2 linked regions of the Neurospora crassa OR74A genome follow. Each later gene encodes a partner of the first gene's protein in a complex. Links are inferred from orthologs where the notes say so. Each region holds a gene or a part of one and is shown in the gene's direction. Other genes may lie near its edges. The genes, in order: NCU05714 and NCU04336.

Region 1 (7,525 bases):
TAAGCTGAAGGTCTGAAAAAAGGGTACCCAAGAAATGTAGCTGGCGTACGGATGACTGTATTTCGAGGACAACTTTGAAGTGATAGTGTTATCCTTGGACTTATTTTGCTAAGCTTTCGATGGTCCAGCACTCCAAGAGGCAAAGAAATGACAGTAAATAGGGGATTGTTGAATAGTAGTGTTGAGCTGGAGAGACTGAATTGAATAGGAACAGAGGTGAGCTAACCACGAAGTAGAATAAAGAATAACTTGCAAAGTCAGAAAGAATACAAGCAACATCGAACAAGGCCGGCTACGACTTTTCAAGGAGGTCGTCGTGCCAAATCTGGTGATTGTCATAACGCCCAAGTCCGAGTGCAAGGGGTACCGTAGAAACTCGCGCAATTGGCAAAACCGATTCCCTCTTTCAGCGCCGGACAGTAAGCACAGGAAGAAGCATACTCCTGTACATATGTCCGCTCAATTAGTAAAGGCTCTACAATCCTAGCCAACACTATCCTGCCTGCGTTCCAAAGCACAGGCTCGGACTCGGGCACTACAGGTCATCCTGTACTATGCCCCAAAAACCTCTTTTTTTGCGGCATTATGGTTTTGCCAATTGCGCGAGTTTCTACGGTATGTGCAGGGTGGAAGTTGCAACTTCCTGTAATAAAGGGCAGGATTGGGGTCTGTTCAGGTGGCCCGGAAGGAGACGGAATGGCAGCGGGGAAAGAAAGCGCGTCAAGAAGTCAGCTGTTGGCAGGCAAGCACGAGAGGACACCTGCATGAACCCCCATTTCGAGACTATCGATGAATGACCGGTTCTGCTAGAGGGAAGGGGACGACACGCTGGGATAAAGGAAAGGACATGCCTCTTTTTCGTAAATGATCGAACAAGGAGCTGGGACCAAGAACATGCGACATGGTAACTCCAGGTGACAATACAAATCCCAACTCACACGAAGTTGGGAACATTGCCACAGCTGAGCCGCTTCATGTTCAGGTCAAGCAAGACTAGAAGGAGATACAATGTGCCACAGCGAGAGAGAAAGTCAGGTCACAGGTTCAAAGACGACAAGAACAATTGATGGCGACCTAGAAGTTGATGTTATGATCCCGTGAAATTCGGACAGTTGCTGTGGACACTTTGGAGATGTCAAGGAAAGTACGTCGCACCTCATTCGCCGAAGGAAGAACGCGAGTTGCGCAAACGGTTGGCATTGAGAAGGCAGCCAGGAGAGACATCGATGTGGACATCCTGATAATCCATAGAGACAACGACGTTTGAAAACATGAATCAAGACCGAAGAAAGAACCGTAAACATATTGAACGTCAAATGAAAGAGAAAGTAGTCTGGCATTCAAGTCGTATTGAAACTGACCCAGTTGCTTTCCTAAAAGGAAGGTGCTATCCATGGGTGGTGAGGGCTTGACTTGTACACGAAAACGATCAGGTCGCTGCCGCAAACATGACCACATCCATGGGATCTTTCCCGCTCGCAAAGAAACCCATTTATCAGCCCCAAGACAGAAAGCAAATATTGAGAGACCACATTTTTGAGGCCCTGAGAGGCTGTCCAATTGACATGAAGAGCAAAAAGCTCGGTCGCCCAGGTAAGTTTGTAGAACGAACGACAATACCCCAACTGCAGACCTACGAAAAAGCCACACATTTTCATCAACGGGAACCACTGTGCCAAAAGATCACAGAGTTCCGTTATGCCAGAGAGATCAGTTAGGGAACCCGACCTTATATAATACCTGTAGGCTACAGCAGAGGGTACTAGAGGTTTGCGGCCTGGGCGGGAAGGGATCTTGTCATCCGATGTTCCCGTCGGTGAAGGGCGTGCCGACCGATTGCCGGTGGCAGGAGCGGTGGCAGGTACCTGGCGCGTGGTTTGGGCTTGGGACTGACATTCCATGCTTGAAATTCAGACAGACTTGAGTGAAAAGCCATTTCGGAGCGGCGCTTCTCTGCTTGACTTGGAAAGTTCCATCACGATCGGTTATGTTTATCCCGCGAAATGACTGCACGCTGTCCCTTGCTCTGTTCTGCAGTAAACGTTATCCGACAGCAAAGAAGGCTTAACAATTACATTCTTTCTATCAGCCATACAAACACCTTCAGTAAATCAAAGTAACATTCAGGCAATTCCAGCGTGTATGTCACTCATGCCATTCTCAACACTCCCGAACCCCACCAGCTCGATTGGCTCATGGCTGACACAGAACCCCCTTCGACACGCCCTACTTCAGGACTTCTGTGTAATTCTAGCGTAGGTCGCAGTTGAGACCCATCTATAATAGGTTTCTAGTATGAGCTGCTCTTGGCTGCCTGTTTTGCGTTGCTCTCAAAGGCAATACTTTAAGCATCCCACAGTTGTACTTGCACAATATTTTCTCAACGCACCTCCAATGGCCTCGGGACACTCAATTTATGATCATTCCGACTGGGTGGAAAAATTCCCTAAACTCGCACCAGATGTTCTTCAGCCTGTTAAGCCGCGGTACAATCACTCTTAGGGACTTTCACCGCACTGAACCTTTGACATGTTCTTGCATATCCCGTGTAAGTGATATCGAACATGGATATTTTGGAGCATCACGGTCCCTTGGCGAAGGACGTCGGATGTGGACCAGCTGCTGACTCAGCCGCCCATTCGCAATTGACCGAGACCAACGAGGGCGCACGGTCCACCCCCGCGACGCAGGTGTCGGAATTTGGCTGGGCGCGGGTCCTGAACTTTTGTTTTCGGGGAAGTGCCGTTGCCGTGAGGAACGGAATCCGGAAGACTGCCCGACCCAGACCCAACCCACTCCCGTGTCCTCCGCCTCCGTCATGCCTCCCAGGTTACCGCTCGCCCAGGCGGCGCGATGCTGCCAGGCCTCCCTCACAGCCCGCCCTTCGGTCCCAGCCTCGTCGCCGACGTCGTCCCTCATTTCGCTCTTTGCTGCCCTCTCCGTCCAGACCAGGAGCGCATCCATCCTCGCCAGCCTGTCCGACAACCGGGGCGCCTACCACAAGCGCATTCGCAAGGGTCGCGGTCCTTCGTCCGGCTATGGCAAGACTGCCGGTCGCGGTACCAAGGGTCAGAAGGCCCACGGTCATGTTAAGCCATGGTTCCAGGGTGGTCAGACGCCCTTGATCGTCTCTCACGGCCGCAAGGGTTTCGTTAACCAGTATGCCGTCCCGACTTCCCTACCTCGCTTGCTATGCGCCATGGCCAAGAACTCTCCAGCATGCTATCCGATAACCTATACCTACCAGATACATGATGGAGACTAACCATTTGTGTCTTTCATAGGTTCGCTGCCGACATGTCCGAGCTTAACCTCGAAAAGCTTCAGGAATGGATCGAAGCCGGCCGTATCGACCCCACGAAGCCCATTACCCCCAAGGAGATCATCAAGTCCGGCATCATTGGCAGCAGCATCAAGGACGGCATCAAGCTTCTCGGCCGCGGCAAGGAGAGCTTCAAGATCCCCGTCACCATCACCGTATCGCGCGCGTCCGCCTCCGCCATTGAGGCCATCGAGGCTGCCGGCGGCAAGATCGTCACCCGATTCTACACCAAGGAATCGCTCAAGCGTCTGGTAGAGGGCAAGTCTCTTCATACCGACAAGCCGCTGCCGGTGGGCAAGGAGCACGTGGAGGAGATCCTGGCGCAGGCGCGATCGCTCAAGAAGAAGTACTACCGCCTGCCGGACCCGACCAGCCGTTGGGATATTGAGTACTACAGAGACCCGGCGCATAGGGGCTACCTCAGCCACCAGCTTGCGCCTGGCGAGTCGCCCAGTTTGTACTTCAAGGTACCGACGGGCGGCGAGAAGGTCAAGGTGGTCAGGGCCGACAAGGTCAAGGCCAGCAAGACCGGGGATGTGGCGTCGGAGAAGCTCTTCTAATGAACACGAACATTGCCTGGGATGGCGGTTTTTCCGAGACTCGTTGTTGCGCTCTTCCTCGTTGTTGTATGATAGGTACTGGGCCCGTTCATGGCTCTGTGCTTTGTGTTGTATTATTATCATCCGCGTATTGTCAGTCCAGCGTCTTGCTCCTCGGATCAGTTCTATTTGGGTCCTTGTACATCATACAGGTCTCACCTACGGGAGTGGATTCCCACATGCGGCCAGCACTCCACTTGCTGACAACGCAGGTGAATCATGAAACTCCCTTGATTGACGTGTTCCTGCTTTTGCGATCCATCGTAGTTCGAAGATGGGCTTTATAAAGTAAATATCACTTGGCTGCGTGTTGACATGGTCCAAACGACGGATCTCGAAGACTTGCTGTCCCGTACCTGGCAGTCGGAAGAACAGCCATTGGCCAGTGACATGTCAATCCCGCAAGCTGACCCCGGTCAAGTCCCGGTCCTGGGCGGTCCCCGGCCATTCCTTCCAGGGCAGCTTCCACGGGGACGGTGAATGGGGGCATTAGAAAATATGGGTCTGATCACGTGCCAGGTCGCTTTTGGTACCTTCTCCATACCAGCTTGTAATTACGTCCGAAAACAGCCGTCAATACCCGACTTCTCTGCAAATTACCAATTAGTGTTAGGGTTAGTTAGGGTTAGTTAGGGTTAGTTAGGGTTAGGGTTAGCTCCGGGGGTGCAGGGGGCCGGTGAGAGGCCCCCGCATGTGAATGTGAATCGTTAATATTGACATATGTCAACCATATGCCGACCATATGTCTTGTAATTACGGTAATTACACGGGTGACTTTCGATACCTTCGGCTTAAAGAAAGTGGAGTATGCACGGACCAGTCTAATGCCCCTAATCACCATGCCCAGCTTCCACAGCGGGAACCGTCCACTGAAGCCACTGTATGCAGCCCTCCCGAACGGGATTGTGTCAGCTTTGGAGTCGGCGCGTGCCCTCCACCCACTCTGCCCGCCGCGGCGTCATCATTGATGCATCTTGACTTTTCTTTCCTCGAGCGGGAGAGACCAAACTTTGTCGTTGTCAACATCACGACCTGCTTCAACTTTTTTCTTCATTTCTGTGTTTCATTTTCTTCTTTTTCTTCTTCTTCTTCTTCTGGCTGAGGTTGCCATAATCTCATCATTAACTTGTTCACTCTTTGGTTCTTCCATCTTCAGCCCTGGCCCATTGGGGTTGTTCCTTGCAGTGCCAATCCTGACGGAGCTTATATACCTACGTCTACACTACCAGTGGCGGTACCTACATCCAACAGCCCTCCAACAGCCCTCCGTTGCATCCAGATTACGAGTCGCATTGCGACGCTGCTAGTGAGATTCTCTGCGTCGACTGTTGCAGAAACCGAGCCTTGCAGAGTGGCCTCACATTTTGCTTCAACCTCGCCTTGCGCCGAACATCTTCACTCCTCCAACCGACTTACACCGTGAACCTACCTACCTACCTTGGGTTGTCCGCCCTCCAAGCTCTCTCCAGCCAGCACAACATGTCGCTCTTTGGCAGCTCCCCTCCCAACGACGGCTCGGCCGCCCTCAACCCAGCCAAGACCGCCAACAGCAGCCGCTCGACCCTCTTCGATAACGAGGCGCCCACCACTCGCTCCGGCAGTGCGCTATTCGCCGACGATGACCACGATTCGCCCTGGGACATGCCCACCCCGCGCAAGCAGCGCAGCCGCGCCGATCTGATCCGCAACCTCCTCCCCTCGGGCGACGTTCCCGAGAGCTACATCGAGACGTTCGACGCAGTAGTCCGTACAGAGAACCGGAGCACAAATGGGCGGATCACAGCCGGGGGGGTTGCGCGGACGCTGGCAGCGGCCAAGCTTGGCGCCGATGACCAGGCGCGCATAATGGGTATCATCGCCCCTGCTTCGGCCTCCGCTACAGGCGCTGGTGGTGGGGGTGATGGTGCCCATGGTGGGGAGGCTAACAGCTCCGCTGCTGCTGCTGCTGCTGCTGTTGGCTTGGGGGACTTGGGCAGGAACGAGTTCAACGTTCTCCTGGCCCTGATTGGCCTTGTCCAAGAAGGGGAGGTCGCCAGCTTGGATGGCGTGGATGAACGTCGACGAAGTAAGTCTTTTTTGATTCTTGTTTTTGATTTTTATTTCTTTCCCTTCTGCCGACATTGTCCAATCCTGTTTTTCGGTTGTGTATCTTCTTCGGTCTACAATACGTTTCTGCCTGCAGTGCTTCGTCGCAACAAAGTGCCGGGGCGCCTTTGATTTTCCGGTTCTTCAGCCAGTTGCTGGCTGGTCATCCATCCCAACCCCGTTGCAACCCAGACGAACCTCGAATGGCGGTCATATGTCAATCCCCCGTTTGTTGATTGATTGTTCCCGCCGACTCCGTTAACCTTTTTGCTTGTCCGTCTTTTTTGTTCGTGCTCTGCTCAATAACACTGATATTGCGTTTTGCTTTTCAAAATACCCCATATTCTCCCCATCACATACATCATCTTCCTTCCGTGTTAGTGCACTGCTTCGCGCGCTCCGAAATCCGCAATCGCCTTGGTCCTAGGTCAACGCCATCGGGGGTGGGTCCGTTAGTTCTTCAGTGTCATGGCAACTAAGCTAACCTCGTTGCGTAACCGCTATCCAGATCTTCCCCAGCCCAAACTACAAGGTCTTGTCAACGAGAACGTCCAGCCCATGCTGCCGAATTTGTCTGAACTTGGTGCGAAACCTCCACAACGACCCGTCACACCACCAAAAGCCCCCACCCCGTCTCCTCCCAAGCAACAGCAGCAGCAGCAACACCAGCCGCCCACGCTGAGGAAGGTTTCAATGGAGTACCCCGAGGACCCGTGGAACGCGCCCGATCTTCACAAAGGTCATAACCATGGCCCATTAGAACACTCGACGGGACATAACGGCGCCGCCGACGTCCCTCGGTCGGTCGCGAACGACTTGAACGGCAACGACGCTGTTTCGTACAGTACGAGTCCCGAGGTGACGACCACCAGTAGCGCTTTGCCCGGTCGGACAACTTCCACTTTCACCACCAGCCAACCACCCTCGGGTCCAAGCTCAATTCACAATGTCGCCGAGTCAATTCAAGAAAGCAATGGCGCTTGGAACTACTTTCCCGGCAGCTCCTCGGGAGGAGGGTTCGGCGAGCCAGCAGACAATGCTATCACAGGTCCGTTTGGTGATAGTGGGGGACCTGGTCAGTCTGTCAGTGGTTCAGTCGGTGGTTCCAATCCCAACCGAAGCATTGGACATGTCAGGTCCGGAAGCAACGTGGAGGAGAATATCCTGGTGACGCTGATGCCGGAGAAGGAGGGTGTGTTCATGTTCCAGCACCACAACTACGAGGTCTCGAGCATAAGACGTGGCAGCAAGGTCGTCCGACGATACAGCGACTTTGTGTGGTTATTGGATTGCTTGCACAAGCGGTATCCGTTTAGGGTGCTGCCGCTGTTGCCGCCCAAGCGGGTTGCTTGTAAGTTAGAGACCATTCCGAGGGACATGGGCTACGCTAACAGAGACAGTCAATGGCAACCATTTGTCCAACGATGGAGCCTTTATCGAGAAGCGTCGCCGCGGTCTGGCTAGGTTCCTCAACGCTCTTGTGCGCCACCCGGTTCTGGGTCAGGAGCAGCTGGTGATT
Region 2 (7,211 bases), on another chromosome or scaffold:
TAGGTGCAGTGCTCTCGGCGCATGACCGCGTTCAATTGAAGTCGACGTACCTGTGGCGCTTGATGCCCACGCCGCCCTGGCCCTTGCCCTTCCCACTCGCGCCGCTCAAGACGGACTTACCGCTCACTGAGTGGCGGTGCTTCAGTCCCGAGGGACCGCCGCGAGAGGGTATAGTTGGCGGCATGGTACTTAACGAGTGATCAAAGTTAACCCGCGTTGTTTTGAGAGTAAACAAAAGAAATGATGAAAGCTCAAAGAGCACTCCCTGCAAGGCCAAATGCAACCGGGACGGAGGCGTGCAGTCAAGTGGAAGTTGGTGTAAGCGAATGCGCCTAAGGTGGGGCTGAAAGTGGTTTGAAAGTTTGAGGTTGGTCGGTTCCCTTGCGAGGCAGAGGGGTGGAGTTCAAACAGCGTGAGGGTGAGCTTAAGCTATCCATCATATCCAAATAGGGATCCGTGCGCCAGCGTAAAGAGGTGCACTGACAGACAGGAAGGGCAAGAAGATGATGCTTAAGTTAAACTACGTACCATGTATCACACAGTCGCAGCGGACAACACGACCAGCACAGGAAGCAATCCAAGTCTATTAAATTATTGGGCTCTCCAGGAAGCCTTGTTATGTTATATCCGATCCACTATGCAAAGCGGGCTCCTTGTCCAGACCGAGACGGAGCAAATTATCGAGTCCTTATAAACAGTATGCAGGAGACAAACCGTCCAACGAGTGACCAAGCACCTCTATCGGCATCTCTCAACGACTCCAAACCATGATACCAGCCCTCATTGATATAGCGTGTTACCCAGAAAAAACCGTCATTACTTCCTCATCCACATCTTAGATTTAGGCGGAAATGAAGGTAGCCTCGCTGAACAGGTAGCCCTCCTCCGAAATTTCTTCCTCCCCAAGCTTGAGCTTGAGAGTGAGCTTCTTCTTTTGTGGCGCGTACTATATTGTTTTCATGTCAGTTCCACAGTCCAAATAATGAGTGATCAGCAAAACAACATACCTGGTAAATGTACGGCTTTGTGCCAACAGCACCCGCGACAATCTGCTTGACGAATCCCGGCACCTCAGCCATGACGTCTATCCTGTCGAGCTTATCCTCGAGCTCGCCCTCTAGAACAGCATCGGCCTGCTTGCCGTCCTTGGTAGTACCCTTCCACTCAAACTTGATAGCAGTCGGCTCGGGCCAGTCGTTCTCCGTGTCGCCCTTGATCGCAACATGCGTGACCGCACCCTCGGCGCCGGCAAAAATGATCTCATTGTCCTTGACAATACCGCCGACGTTCACGACCGTCGATCCGTAAGAAGGGGGAGTTGTGTACTGCATCAGGACCGCAGAGTAGTTGGGGCCTTGGAAGTTGCAAAAGTTCCACTTGGCCGCGGCGTGATGAGGCTTCATGCCCTGCAGAGCGTGGACGAACATGGCGCGTCCCTTGCAGTCGACGGGACCATCCGGAGTGGCAATCGTGCCCTCAGCGACACACCTGGGCCAGAAAACGTGGCGCATGGAACCCCAAGGGTTGGCAAGGTCGGTGCCAAACAGTGTTGTGCCGGATGTACCAATCTTGAAGCCAGGCGCTGTCCTCTTGATGGTCACGTTGACAATCGACCTTTCATCGTTCAACGACTTGATAGTGTACGAGTTTCCATCTTCCGAAAGCTCGACGGCGCAATCGGTGGCGTAGAAGCTGGTCTTGTCCTCGCTGAACTCGTGGTTGTTGAGGGGCGTAGAGCACCAGAGGTGGGGCTTGGATCCATCCAGGGAGAAGACCTTGCAGTTAAACTGGCAAGTCGTGCGGATGCCACTGTTGTGCCATCAGGTCAATACAAGGCCCAAGTTTGCGAGCGCGCCACATTGACGGCGAATCGTGCAATGGGGAATCTTACGCAACGTTAGAGTAGATGACCTGGGCAAAGGCGAGCTGGCCGCTGTCCGTCATGAAGTAGAAGCACTGCGTCTCGACGCAAGTGGACTCCATGGCCTGCCACTTCAGGTCATCCTTGGTGGTTTCGGTATAGGGAGTTGTCTTGGCCTCCTCGGCGACAGACCTGATAGCCTCGGGGCCGTAGATAGGCTCCTTGGTGCCGGCGACATTGGCCAACCTACAAGCGAGTCGTTAGAGGTCTGCGTCCAGCGGATGGTGGGGGTGGTGCTTGGAGTACTCACGCCGCTTGCGCCCACTTGAACATGATGAAAGACTGGGGGGGGGGGGTATAGGGCGAAATGGGAAGAGTATAGATTACAGAAGCAAAAAGTCAAGACAACGAGGCGAAAATGAGTCTAGTTGTGAGAATTTTCCAGGTAGTTTGATGTTCAAGATTAAAGTCATTCACCGCCGTCGAGAAAGATGGGGCAGAGCTGAGATGGCGCCGCGCTCAGATAAAAGCCAATGGAAAACAGAAGGGGCAACCCAGTCTGTCCCAAATCTCCTACAAGTACGTACCTTTGGGCTTCCCCGCGGCCGACTGCCTCTAGCCGTGGCCCTCGATGCGTGGCAGTCGAGCAGCAAAGAAGACTCACTGGCTCTTGAAGGTGCACGTCACTGTTCCGCCCAACTCTCCACATCACCTGAGGACTTGACGATCGATTGGACCCTTTCAGGTTCCTACAGCGGGTCTGCAATCACTTGGAGCGTTCAGGTTTCGCAATGCTGTGTTCCCTTGCAGACTTGCAGCAGCTCGAACGCACCTTTGCGGCAGGGCAGGCGGCAGGCAATGACGGGAATGATCAATCCAAGTCACGCCCGGTACCCGTACTACGCCCCCACTTTTTTGGGACTCGCAAATTCGCACCCACCTAAGTGGGTGCTTACGAATAACACGGCCACACCACTAAAACGGCCACCAGGGTTAGAGGTGCGAATCAGATAAACGATACCAAAATAGTGAACGCCCACAACGTATTTCAACAACTAATTGAGAATAAAGAAAGAGTTAGAAGATAGTCAGGACAGAGTAATGTATCCGTTCAGCTTTTCATTTTTCAGAAATTTCTATATGTTGGGAAGTTGTGCTTTACCCTACGAATCGAGCCTCAAAACTGCACCTCTAACCCTGACCTGGCCGTTTTACTGGTGTGGCCGTAGTACCCGTGAGCACCCACTTTAGGGGGTGCGAGTTCTACGAGGTCCAAAAAAGTGGGGGCGTAGTACGGGTAGGAGAGCAATTGGGGACGAGCGAGGCCGGGACTTTCAGTTGACGGGCGGGCTCGGCGTCGATGCTGTACTAGTACTACTGTAAGCCACTAACGGCACTGAAAAGCGGCGATAAGGGACTGATTGCGGCACTTTACACTAAATAGTGTGTGGCTGAGGCTTTGAAGAAGTGGCTGACGTGACCCTGGCTGCAACGGTTGCCGGCCCGGCGCCCTGATTTTTTTTTGGGCCCAGCTTGAGGTGCCGCGCGCGGCGTCGCCGCCGCCGTTGCTGCCGCCGTCGCGAACGAGGATACCCGACCGACCTCGAAAGTGTAACACGCGACTGCAGACGCGCCGAATTACCGTTCCGTTCTCCTCCCAACTTAATTTCCCTCGAGGGTATCTGCAGTAGAGTCGCCAGAATGTCCAAGGCCGCAAAAGGTGGTGCTGGTGGTGTTGAGCAGGTGGTGAAGCTCATTGTCGGCGCCGGTCAGGCCAGCCCGAGTCCCCCGGTCGGTCCGGCCCTTGGTTCCAAGGGCATCAAGTCCATGGACTTTTGCAAGGTCGGTTTGCATGCGCCCACCCATATAATATCCACAACACAAGCTGACATGCGCTCAAATCTGTATAGGAGTTCAACGCCAGAACCGCCCATATCAACACCGGTACCCCTATGCCCGTCCGTGTTACCGTCAGGCCCGACCGCTCGTTCCACTTCGATGTCCGCACCCCTCACACATCATGGCTTCTGCTCAACGCCGCCGAGGCCCCGATAGGCAAGGGCGGCAAGAGAAAGGGCGCCAGCAACCCCGGCAAGGAGGTTGTCGGCACCGTCAGCCTCAAACATGTCTACGAGATTGCCAAGATCAAGCAGTCCGAGCTCCGTCTATCCGGCCTGCCCCTCGAGGGCCTCTGCAGGGCGGTCATCTACCAGGCCAGGTCGATCGGTATCAACGTTATCCCCTGAAAGAGGCTATACGCTGAAAGACATTATACGGGCTTGGGGGCACGAAGGCGTTACGGTTGTTTCTTTTAGGTGGATAGACCACGGCATTGTTACCAATATTGGATGCGGACTATAGCCATAGCTTGTGGCTCTGTGTATCTTTGCTTGTATCATTATTGTATGGCAAAATCTCAAAATGCACAGCGGTGCCTGGAGCTGTTGGTTGGTCCACGGAGTATGATCGTTTGGGAAAGGCTTCCACAAAAGGGTGCTGATGGCAGGCATGGCATATATGGGCATTTGCCGGTTTGCGTTTGCATTGCCTCAACGTACTCCAGCTTCGTCAACCTTGGCTCACATAGCTTGTGTTTGTGGAACACGCAGGCGTATGACGAGGATCTGTCTCTGTAGGATTAAGTTTTAAGGTTGGCGGTCACCAAGGTAGACCGCCCAACGGGTATTATGCTTACCTGAATGTAGGTGAGATGTGTTTATAATGCTTTTGGCTAAGCTGACTGCAAGACAAATCACACACATATATAAAAAGGGGTTTTGTAAACAAACATCCGCTTCGCCCAAGTGCTTATCCACCAGCCCACTTCTTACCACTCAGGCGAAGCCCCGGTATCATGTCGCCATGGTGTTCATCTCATGCTTTCAATACTAACGAGATGAAATGGATGATTGTTTAATATCCTACACGTGTGCAACGATTGCAATTACATTCAATGGCTTCTAGAACCATTCGGGCAATTACCTCCCGCAGCATGGCGGGGTATCGACATGGGTTACACCGAACCGAGCGATAAGGACCTGGTTTTCGGCGGTAGAGATCGACATAGAAAGCTGTTTACCATATCCGTTGGCAGTCCATCGAAAAAAAAGGTTGGGTGACATCAGGACAGTCACTGGAGACAAAGCTGACCACCAACACCACCTAGACTTGTCATCCATGCCTTTGCGGTGCCTCGGTCTTTCGGACACGGCGGCGCTCTAAAAGGCCGCTTTGACGGTGGTCGGGGCTGCTGCGGGATTCATACTTGACTCTCTGTTGTTCAGTTGAAACGCAGGGCAACGAGGATGACAGCCAAGGACGCAAGGCACAACCGGCTGAGGTGTTCACTCGAGTCATTGGGTGAACTGCCCAGTGTTTGAGGAACAACACGGGGCGGCGGAAACAGAGATGTGATGGAATGGATGTCCTGGCAGGAATTACGACTGCGTCAATGCAGCTGGTCATTGGCGTTTTAGAGGGGGAGGCGCTGCAATCGCTCGGCATCTTTCAAAGCTGGAAAAGGAAGTCGGACAAGATGGAAGAGGACATCGATGGACAGGATCAGGGACCTGACCCCAGGTTGCCGACCGCTCCCGGTTCCAATGTGTACTTGTGTAGTGTATGACAAAGACCAAGATCCAAGACGGGACTCCTATTGCGGTTTTGGGAACACTGACGCCCAGACAGGGTGCCCGCCGCCACGTTCAAACTGTTTGGCTTCGAGACCGTTCACCTTGTGAGGACGGGAGTCTGTGACTGCGGATCCGTCTGAAATTCAATCATTCTAGGAAAGCCGGCTTGGCCCGATCTCAGTGCCGGCGTGCCCGCTCTCAGATTCAACTCAGGTCCTCTCCTCCCAGGCGGGTGCACTGGCTGGTGGTCCATCAAGGGTACCCGTGTTTCCCGCCGCCTGCAGCCAACGTTTCCTGTAAGTACCTGTCATGTACATAGCTCGGCCCCACCACGACGCAACAGAGCGCCATCTTTCACACTTCCATTTCTTCGCCGAACCCGGGCCGCTTCTGTCCCAAGTGAACAAGAACTGAAGCCTAGGCACACAGCATCGACAAGGAATCGTCAAGGCCAGGCAAAGTCAAATCAGAAGTCACGGTGGAAAGTGGAAACCCCATTATTCACCTCCTACATAGTGTACTAGTAGTGACCAGTCCAAGCCTTGTCTACAGGCTTTGCAGTTCCATGACAGTTGAGATCGCCGTCATCTATTTGGCCCCGACTCTTCTTTCGCCGCCGTCCCATTTGCCTTTCCCTTGCTTCCACTTGACATAGTTTCCGCCCATTCCGCCGCTGCGTCTGCTTGCCGGTCTGGTCTTGTCTTGCATCTTCTGTCGCTCTGTCACCTGTCTGGCCCTTGCATCTTGCATCACACGGTCTTTTATCCCATCTTTTTTATCTCTGTTTTCCAGGGCGGGCCAGACACCAGACGTTATTCGGATTCCTGCCAGGATTTTACAAGTTTTATTAGTTTGCGGAGACGGGCGCAAATTCGAACCAAGAAATCAAAGTCACCCAACAAAAACAACAAAACACCTAAAAAAAAAAAAGATGGCGACCGCTGAGAAAGAGTCAGAGCAGCGTCAACCGGACGAACAGTTCCAAGGTAAGGAGAAAGGAAACAACGACGAAGAATTGGAAAAGAAAAAAACACGAATAAAAAATCAACGGCAACCCCTCATCTCTGATCCCTACTACGCCAATCCTCGGGGACTAGAACGAGCAAGCATTGGATTGAAGCAATTCGCTGACTTGTAGTCTACTCCAACAGCTGTCGAGCCGCAATCGGTCAAAGTCACTCCCGCTGAACCATCCAAAACCGAGCCTGCTGTCCGCTTCAAGTCAACTGTCGAAGAGATCACGCCAGAGGGCACCACATCGACACCAACCATTGCACCAGACGTCACCCTCGGCGAACCGGGTGAGGTCACCCCCGAGCAGCTTCGTGATATCGCCGAGAGGTTGAAGGCCTGTCCGCTGCAGGAGCGAAGGATAAGCCTTTTCCAGTACGAGGCATTCTCGCTTCCCGCTTCAAGGGTAAGCCCATCCTAATTTCACGTGAGGGGCTACGCTTCTTGCTTCCTTCCTTTGTTCATCTCCCAAGTTTTGCTTTTGCCTTGGTCCGTCGCTTCCGGGGGGGGCTTGTGCAACCAAGATCAGCTCGGTGGCTTTTGCTGGCTTTTTCCATGTCTCTTGTCTGATTGCACACCATATATCCATGCATGCATAGTCACCATTCTTCGCGTCTGCGTCTTTACCCCTTGGGCGAGGACTAATACTTTGCTATCTCCAGACACCTTCCCACGAAGATGATTCAAGAGCTCCCAGTCGCGAACAT

What was found.
Region 2: NCU05714 (region 1) and NCU04336 share a complex: the UniProt entries of both Schizosaccharomyces pombe proteins name them as parts of the mitochondrial large ribosomal subunit. The link is inferred for Neurospora crassa OR74A from reciprocal best matches to the Schizosaccharomyces pombe genes mrpl10 and mrpl19.

Annotation. Positions count from the first base shown.
Region 1 is NC_026503.1:603,045-610,569, forward strand, and holds NCU05714 (mitochondrial 54S ribosomal protein YmL10/YmL18), read left to right. Parts: upstream 1-2,693; 5' UTR 2,694-2,818; coding exon 2,819-3,159; intron 3,160-3,284; coding exon 3,285-3,882; 3' UTR 3,883-4,521; downstream 4,522-7,525. Other genes in the region: NCU05715 (sorting nexin mvp-1), read left to right, coding at 5,401-5,986, 6,515-7,357, 7,407-7,525. UniProt on the Schizosaccharomyces pombe protein: Component of the mitochondrial ribosome (mitoribosome), a dedicated translation machinery responsible for the synthesis of mitochondrial genome-encoded proteins, including at least some of the essential transmembrane subunits of the mitochondrial respiratory chain.
Region 2 is NC_026504.1:3,731,300-3,738,510, forward strand, and holds NCU04336 (mitochondrial 54S ribosomal protein YmL19), read left to right. Parts: upstream 1-3,393; 5' UTR 3,394-3,562; coding exon 3,563-3,703; intron 3,704-3,771; coding exon 3,772-4,107; 3' UTR 4,108-4,642; downstream 4,643-7,211. Other genes in the region: hH4v (histone h4-2), read right to left, coding at 51-184; NCU04337 (survival factor 1), read right to left, coding at 842-946, 1,008-1,809, 1,892-2,107, 2,172-2,194; stk-30 (protein kinase), read left to right, coding at 6,425-6,479, 6,645-6,910, 7,167-7,211. UniProt on the Schizosaccharomyces pombe protein: Component of the mitochondrial ribosome (mitoribosome), a dedicated translation machinery responsible for the synthesis of mitochondrial genome-encoded proteins, including at least some of the essential transmembrane subunits of the mitochondrial respiratory chain.